Linked DNA regions of Mus musculus. The protein of the gene in region 1 purifies or fractionates together with the protein of each later gene. This does not show direct contact. Links are inferred from orthologs where the notes say so. Each region holds a gene or a part of one and is shown in the gene's direction. Other genes may lie near its edges. The genes, in order: Magohb and Pym1.

Evidence for each region.
Region 2: the proteins of Magohb (region 1) and Pym1 purify together in Homo sapiens (co-immunoprecipitation; 3 studies listed by BioGRID and IntAct, with this or other methods). This does not show direct contact. The link is inferred for Mus musculus from reciprocal best matches to the Homo sapiens genes MAGOHB and PYM1.

Annotation. Positions count from the first base shown.
Region 1 is NC_000072.6:131,290,316-131,294,750, reverse strand, and holds the start of Magohb (protein mago nashi homolog 2), read left to right. Parts: upstream 1-1,506; 5' UTR 1,507-1,585; coding exon 1,586-1,679; intron 1,680-2,810; exon of another isoform or gene 2,811-3,010; intron 3,011-4,435. UniProt on the Homo sapiens protein: Required for pre-mRNA splicing as component of the spliceosome. Plays a redundant role with MAGOH in the exon junction complex and in the nonsense-mediated decay (NMD) pathway.
Region 2 is NC_000076.6:128,747,103-128,751,345, forward strand, and holds the start of Pym1 (partner of Y14 and mago), read left to right. Parts: upstream 1-1,352; 5' UTR 1,353-1,430; coding exon 1,431-1,464; coding exon of another isoform or gene 1,465-1,532; intron 1,533-1,568; exon of another isoform or gene 1,569-1,688; coding exon of another isoform or gene 1,689-1,758; intron 1,759-3,180; coding exon of another isoform or gene 3,181-3,235; intron 3,236-4,243. UniProt on the Homo sapiens protein: Key regulator of the exon junction complex (EJC), a multiprotein complex that associates immediately upstream of the exon-exon junction on mRNAs and serves as a positional landmark for the intron exon structure of genes and directs post-transcriptional processes in the cytoplasm such as mRNA export, nonsense-mediated mRNA decay (NMD) or translation.

The DNA of each region.
Region 1 (4,435 bases):
AGCATATCATATACATGTTGTTTAATTTTCTCAGGTCTGTGTTTGGCAGTTGATCACTGTGTATCTAGTTAGTTAATGATCAAACAGGTTGAGAGATAATGACTTGTCCAAGGTTACGTGGGACCAGTACTGAGACTGGACTCTTTTTCTTAGGATTGTGACAGAAGGCCATCAGTCACCGATAGGATTACTCAGTGGTGCTAAAAGAAAGGTGATCAGGAATTGGAACGAGGGAACTGGGTGCAGTTCACTGTCATTTTGTGCTCTTCAAGACTACACTTGGATGTTCCGTATTTTTCCAACTCAAACTGTTGAGAACTGTGACCTAGCCCTGCAAATATATAGGGTACTAACCATTAACCCTTAGTGACTCATGAGTTGTAGTATACTATGAAAAACTCTTCTATGATGACTATCTGGACTTTTCAGTTTCATGTGCTATTTAAACATCAAACTCCCACCAGACAGATTCATTTTACTCTGTGTCTCCGTCTGGGCTGTTAGCTACTGGAAATTTTGAAGTATTACCAAAAGGGACTCTGGTAGATTGTGTTCTGGTTGCCACCGGAATGTATCTTTTCTCAGTTCACCAGTTTCAGGAAGTAGAGTCACACCCCACTTTACAATGTGCTTCGAGATCAGAGATACCCACAATAAGTACAGCTTGTAAACCTTAGTTCAAAACTCAGAAAAAGACACACCTATAGCATAGGGCAACTCGAAAGTAAAAGTGGTTTTACATCTGTTCCTTCCAAGCCCATTTAAACAAACGAGAAGAAAACAAAGAAACAAAATCCCTAGCTATTTCTTTGCTAAGATAAAATATACAGGAAAACGGACAAATCTGGCAATTATTATAGTGAGGTAATGATGAAGTATTAAGACAAATCTTGTATAGAATTTTAGCTTTTGTATGAGTGTATTTATGTGCTAGTGAGTGTAGGTTATTAAACCAGAGAGGATACTGAGTGTAGGTTAAAGAAATAGAGTGGGAAGTGTAACAGGATACATTTAACAAGAAAGTGCAGCGGGAATAATTTGGGCCCAAGGGTTGGGGGCAGTAGATGAGGAAGAGGTGGAGTGTGGCTCAACCAAAATATAGAATGCCAAAATGAAATCCGGGACTTTGTATCCACCAACGCGCTCATGCAAGCCACCCTTATTAAACTCGGTGAGCCTCCCCTCAACCCAGACAAAAACAAGGCGTAAACGTACAGGAGGGCTTATTGGTAAGACTGGTTCAGCGGAGAAGGGATGAGAGAAGATAACATGGTGGGAGCGACTAAAATTCATCATGTACGTGTATAACATCGTCACAGAGTTAAAACGTAAAAATCGAAGACATGAAAATCTTTTCCAAAAAAAGAAAAAAAAAAAAAAAAAAGCGCTCGAGATCGTGGTGGCTCCAATGCGAACCTTCAGTTCTCTTGGGGGTCTCTTGCTTCCTCTTCAGTTTTCCGGGATTTCGTTCCCTACCGGAGTAAACGCGCCCTTGGTGACGCGCTTTGCCTGCGCCCGTGACGTCACTACCTCGCGCCGGCGGCACGTTGGCCCCGCGGTATAGCGGGCTTTACCGAGGGTAAAAATGTCTATGGGTAGTGATTTCTACCTTCGCTACTACGTCGGGCATAAGGGCAAGTTTGGGCACGAGTTTTTGGAGTTCGAGTTTCGGCCGGACGGTGAGCGGCGGAGGGGCTGCGAGGGAGGGCGAGCCGCCCAGGGAGCGGGTTTCAGCGTGTGTGTGTGTGTGTGTGTGTGTGTGTGTGTGTGTGTGTGTGTGTGTGTGTTTCCTTTCTTCTTTATTTCAATTTACTTGTTTAGTTTTGAGAAAGGGCCTTGTTGTGTAGTCCAAGCCGCCCTCGAACTCACGATCCTCCTGCTTCAGCCTCTGGGATGCTGGGATGACAGGCGTGTCACCATGCCCCAGACTCCCAGAAGGGCTTGAAGGGTTTCATTCCAACATTGGAAGACTTTGCTTTTGTAGCAGGCTTGTGCTGTATTTGTGAGAGCAGACATGGGTTATGTTTGTGAGAGGGAAAAAAATGCTGTAAAGTAATTCAGAAAAGCGAATTCTGCCACTCCTGAAAAGTTGAACATATAGGAATCGGAAACTTAGAGCAGAGAACCTGTGCTCCGGGAGTGTTAACAGAATTATCAAGTGATACTCCAGAGGATGCATGGAATCTTTAGGTGACCTCTTTGGCCTACTCGTTCATTCATGGTATGTGTTAAAGCTGCTTTATAGGGGAGGAGCCCCGTGTCTGAACACAGGAATGTGGTATGTGTCAGGTTTGAAATACAGTTCTTCACTAGTGGATGATGGCCAAAGGTAAGGGAGTCAGTGGAAATGCTCCTAGAAGCTCTTTTTGTGCCACCTCCTAGGCAGTCGGCCAGCCTTGTCTAAATGAGTCTGAAAATCTCCTTCCTAGCCACCAGCTGTCAGAACTCTTTCAAGGGGACAATCAATACAAACTTCATACTTTCAGCAAGAAGCAAATGGCCACAGGGGTAGCCGCTGATGCTCTGGGTGAAGAGGGGAAGTGTTGTGTGGTCCCAGTCACAACCAAGGACTGGGGGAATGACAAACAAGCTTTTCCCACAAAACAAGGCTTCTTGACCCAGAGCAGAGTGTACCTGCTGTTGAGTAAGGGGCATACTTCTATAGACCAAGGAGAGCTGGAGAGAGGAATTGCAGGTCTGTTCTTGATATATTATGAATGCCAATCTGAGTGCTTTCAAATTGGTTATTGTAAAAAAATATTGATACTGCTGGACTGAGCCCCTGTCCCTCTGTTTTTGGTCCCAACAAGCTAGCAGAATCTTAAAGCATTTTAGTAACTCTAAAGAAGACGATGTCTGCTAATGAACTATTGAAAAGCCCTGCAACAGTGGCTGTAAGAAATCCAGGAGGAAAGCACCCAAGGTTCAGCATCTACTTACGTCACTTGTCCTTCAACAACACCATCTCCAATGTATTGTTCTCAAGAAGCAACACACTAAGAAAAACAAGGTAGCTACAGAATAAGCTTAACTTTTGGCCTAGAGAATGAAGCTTAAAAAAAAAAAATACCAGGAACAGATTTCCAAGAGACATAGACTGTCCTCAATGAGAGCTTCTACTTTTAAGTCTGAGTCCAGTAAACAGTAAGTGTTTAAGACAAAGAAGTAAATGATCAGACCTTGAAAAACAAAACAAAAAAAGTTTTCCCTGAGTCTTTTTATTGGGGTGGGGGTGGGGGGTTGAGACAGGGTTTCTCTGCAGCCCTGGCTGTCCTGGAACTCACTCTGTAGACCAGGCTGGCCTCGAACTCAGAAATCTGCCTGCCTCGGCCTCCCGAGTGCTGGGATTAAAGGCGTGTGCTACCACGCCCAGCTTCCCTGAGTCTTTAATCCTAGTACTCTGGGGGCAGATGGAGTTTCAGAAAAGCCAGAGCTACACAGTCAAACCCTGTCCCCTCACAAAGTTCCCCATGCAAAAAAGAATCTGCCCCTAGAAGATGAGACACTTGATTGAGATAAAACTGAGAAACCTTCTTGGTTTCTGGGTGAGAGAAAAACCAGAGGAGAGCAGAATGATCAGGGGTTTGTTGGAGCCTCTCCCTGTGTAGTGTAAGGCAATTCTGTCTTGGGACAGCTCTGCCTACCTGCACCAAGAATTTTTATTTTTGAATGTTCATTATGTAGTGGGCAGTATATAAATGTCAAAGCTGAAGGTACTTGGGAGACAAACATTTAACCTACTATAGGACAGTATGGGTTTTACTTAAGTGCTTTATGCATGACTTGCACGAGGTTCTTTGATAGGTAAGGAGAGGATCATGGATTCCAAAAGTTTCAAGCATTTAGGAAGAAGTCAGCATAGCAGTCAGTGTTCCTGCTGTTATTTAGAACTTAATAACTTCACCCTTGTTTCCCAAATTTTGTTGTTGTGGCAGTGGTCTTCTAGTTTTCTCTTTTCTTTTCTTTTCTTTTCTTTTCTTTTCTTTTCTTTTCTTTTCTTTTCTTTCTTTCTTTCTTTCTTTCTTTCTTTTTTTTTTTTTAAGATTTATTTATTTGTTATATATACAGCATTCCACTGGCATGTATACCTGCAGGCCAGAAGAGGGCACTAGATCTCGTTATGGATGGCCATGAGCCACCGTGTGGTTGCTGGGCATTGAATGCAGGATCTCTGGAAGAGTACTGTTCTCTTGACCTCTGAGCCATCTCTCCAGCCCTAGTTTTATTTATTTTTATAAAAAATTAATTGCTTTTTAAAAATTTTATTCCTCTTGTAATTCTGTTCTTGTTCCTCTTGCATTTGAATAACACCAGCTTGTTCTTAGCACCCTGAGTCATTCAAATTAAGACCTCCAACAGTATCAGGAGAATTTTATGTAAGGATTTATTCTCATGCGTCTCTGCCACTGCATTGTTCCACTTACATGGAAAATAA
Region 2 (4,243 bases), on another chromosome or scaffold:
ATGCAAATAGCATTAAAGTCATTTTGAGACTTGAATTGAAAGGAGAGAGGTTAAAGCTGGGAGAATTGCAAGGAGGACAATGTGTGAGCTTTTGAAAACTTAGTTGAGGTTCTTATTAGCCTGTTTTGTTTCTTTTTTTTTTTTTTTTTTTTCCTTTTGGTTTTTTTTTTTTTTTTTTTTTTTGGTTTTTCGAGACAGGGTTTCTCTGTGTAGTCCTGGCTGTCCTGGAACTCACTCTGTAGACCAGACTGGCCTCGAACTCAGAAATCCTCCTCCCTCTGCCTCCACTGGGATTAAAGGCGTGCGCCACCACTGCTCGGTTGTTTTGTTTTAAAGTAGAACATATTGTCTACTACTGAAGTACTAATATTTCCCCACTTCTCAATTTGAGAGGCACTGTTGGACGTTAGTGTAAGCCAAAGTTGGGCAATAGAAGAGGGTGAAAGAGTTAAGGAAAAAGCTTTGTAGGAGGAGGGCAGACACCTGAGGAGAGGAGCTTGAGCCAGCACCTTCCTGACAGAAGAGGAAACAAGTTTAACAGGATTTAGCCCCAGAGGAACTAAATTGCTGATGGAGGAGGGGAGGGACCGGACCGGGCTTTGGCGCTCCTTCCAAGAACAAGGCACAACCTAACAAAGGGAGTGGCCTCACTGTCCCGGTAGATTTAAGGGTGGAACTGCTCGCGGTAGCCAAAGCTAATCCGAAGTGTGGGGCGCGGCTAATTAGAATACTGACTGGGTCCGCCCCAAAAGCCTTCACCCCGTGCCCTCTGACCCGAGAGGATCCAGTACTGAGCAGCAGGCCAAGAAGTTACCTCGCCGGCCGCTGAATCCCCAGGGCTGCCCGCCCCAGTTCAGTCATGGAAACCGCCAGCACCCCCGAGGCCACGGGGACAGGTGACCGACTCGCAGTGCGCCGATCTTTGCGCACCCCTTCGTAGGTCTCTGATCAGTTAACCTGGGCGGCCGAGAGTGGTCGGCGTGCCGAGTAGACCTGCCCACTTTTAAGTGTTAGCCCGGGTTTTCGTGTATCCCTGGGGCTTCTTTGCCCATGCCAACACGCGCCCTAGGGTTTGGTGCAGGCGAGGGGCCTTGCATATTCCTTTCCTCTTTTACCAGCTTTCCTGCTGGGTCCCGGTGGGCCTTGAGCCTGCGAGGACTGTCTGGGATAAGGCTTATGCCCAAACTTCTCTCCGAGCCCTAGGGATTGTTTTATATACATCAGGAGGTCAACAGTGGCGTCGGTGGTAGTCTAAGAGCCCATGACTGTGAGCGTCTTACACTCGCCTTTTCCGCCTCCCGCGTCAGAGAAATGGTGCAGTCTCTCTTTAAGATTAAAATGGTGGCTTGCTAGGATGAGGACTCCACTTCCGGCGGGGAGGGGGGCGGGACCCCAGCCCGCTCACGCCGGAAGTGGTTCGGGTTCTCAAGATGGCGACTCCCTATGTAACTGACGAGACCGGCGGTGAGTGCGGGGATCGCGGAGCCGCCTCTCCCGGGATTCTTGGGTTAGGGGTTCGGACTTGGAAAAGGGTTTGTGCCACGCCCATCCCGGGGCTCCTCCTTTGCCACGCCCCCGTACCGCCTTCCCCATTCATTCCTTTTGGGTTGTTACCTGCGCCCCCTTCTGGTCTCGTGTTTTTTGGGGGGGGTCTCTGCTTCCGGTCTCCCAAACCCTGGGGTCCTCCAATGTCCCCTGCTCCGGGACCCTTAGGCGCTTCAGCTCTTTCTAGCTGTTGGAGTCCCGTACCTTTGCAAGGTTCTCCAGCATTATGGGCTCCTGTGCTCAGTTCCCTCCAATTCCAACCCCCTTTCTCCCTCCCCCATTTCTTACTGTTGTACCTGCTCTCTACCCTTCCCTGTTTTCATTCTTTCTCTCCGGGCTGTGTCTGCTGATGATCTCATTGCTACATAGTGCTTTCTTCTTCACTCTTTGCCCCATCTTCATTGGGTGGGGGTGGGGGTGGGTGTCACTGAAATCCAGACGTGTGAAGGGAAGAGGAATTTAACTTTCAACTTGACTTTTCTCCTTGGTGGAGTTTTCCATTTAAAGTGGGAGAAAACAAACAGGAAAGTATCTACTGGCCTTTCTCTCAACGTCTTTGATAATTGATAGAACCCCATGATTTCTTAAAGGTTGAGTAGCACTTCAGTCGAGCTGTCTGAAATGTTGGAAGTCAGCTGTTTGTGTGTGAAGCTGAGAATCGGTTTTATGTTTTTGTCTTGTTTGTAGTTGCCTTGTCTTTAGGATAATGTGCAATATTGACTTCGAGATGATCAAATAGATATTTGGAAGACGTAGTGCAAGTACCCGGTGACTGTTTTTGTAGCCTTCATCTTGGTCTTCATATGTGACTAGGGTTTTGTAGAAGTGATCCTGTGATTGTGCGGTAATGCACGGTGTGTTTTAAAATGTGCCATTTATGCTTCTTGGTTTGCTTTAAATGTTCCTTATTAAAATTAAAAGCATGAGCCACTGTGCCCAACCTTTAAAAAGCAACTTTCATCTTTAACACTCCAATCCCCAGATGTGATCTCACTATGTGGCCCTGGCTGGCCTAGAGCTCACTGTGTAGACCAGGCTGGCCTTGAACTCATAGAGATCCACTTACCTCTGCTTCCCAAGTTGTGGGATTAAAGGCGTCTAATACCATGACAGGCAGTTTGCAGCTTTTAATGTGTACCTTCTTATTCTTTTTATATTCCATCTGGCCCCTGCCCTGCTATAGAGATAGTTTCTGTTCTTTGTGGCTCTGTAGAAGAGGAAAATAAGCTGTTCTTTTGCCTCTCTGCTTTTCAAATGCAATTTTAGCAAAACGGCAGTGTTCCTATCTACTGCCCACAGATTATGTTTTTTTGTTTGTTTTTTTAAAAGACTTATTTTGTGTGTGTGAATGTTTTGCCTGTGTGTATGTCTGTGCGTCATTTGTGTGGTTGGAGACCACAGAAGTCAGAAGAGCTATTAGATCTGAGGCTGGAGTTTGAGCTGTAGGCCACTATGTCGGTGCTGGGAATCAGACCCCCAAGTCCTCGGTCCACTGCAGTAGCCACTCTTAACCTCTGAGCCAACTCTCTAGCCCTTTTGTTTTTATTTTTGTTATTCTGTCTGTAGCAGCTTGGGAATGCTCTGAACCCCCTCGTTCCTGAGCACGAGATCATTGACGTACCTTTGTATTTTCAGCTACACCTCAGGATTACTACAACCTGGACTTCATCTGTGACACATTTCCTTTCAGGTATTCCCCTTCGCTTTAGCCTCCTTACCAGTCGCCATTTGACAGTCTCAAATCCACAGAGGCAGCTTTTTGCCCTCTTTAGGTTTTCTGGTTGTGTGTGTGGGTGTGGGTGTGGGTGTGAATGCGTGTACTTGTCTGTGTGCACGTGCATGCATGTGGAGGCCAGATGTTGATGTCAGGTGTCTTCCTTGACCACCCCACTTCACCACCACCACCACCTTATATCTGACAGGATCTTTCACCTTAACCCAGAGTTTGGTGACTCAGCTAGTCTAGATAGTCAGGGTGCTCCTGGGATCCTGTCTCTGTCTCCCAAGTGCTGGGATTGTAGGCATGCCACCAGCCCACAGGTGTGAATGTGGATGGATGCTGGTGATCTGAGTACTGGTCTTTATATTAATGTGGCAAGTGTTTTAACTTCTGAGCCATATTAGCCCCCTCTTCTCTCTCTCTTTTTTTTTTTTTTTGTTTTTGTTTTTGGGTTTTTTTGTTGTTTTTGGCTGTTTCAGATAGTCTCTTGCAGTTCAGGCTGGCCTTGAACTCCTGTTCTTCTTGTCCCCGCCTCCTAAGCCACCTGCATTGCAGGTATTTAGTTCAGAACTGCATGTGGCTGTCTTTGTCTTGAATGATATTCATCAACTCTTTTCTTGGCTACTGATTTTAGACTCTAAGAAAAGAAAATCGGAAGTTAGAAGATTCAGTCTCGTGTTAACTTCTGTCAATATTACAGCTTTTTGCCAATTCCTGCTTCCTGGAAGCCTAAATTCTTTTATGACTATTTTACAAGACTCTATCATTAGCCCTTTAATTCCTCCTTTTGTGGCAAATACCCTTACTTTATATTTCATTGGAAAATTAGGGCCTGTCATTTCTGTTTTCTTAGCCTCAGCCAGGTGTCTGTCACTCTCCTCCCTCCCGTCAGGATTTCACATCAGCGGCTTGAGCACTGGGATTATAGATGTGGGTTGCACTGTTTAAGTCCAGATTTTTGAATATTGGGTCTCGATA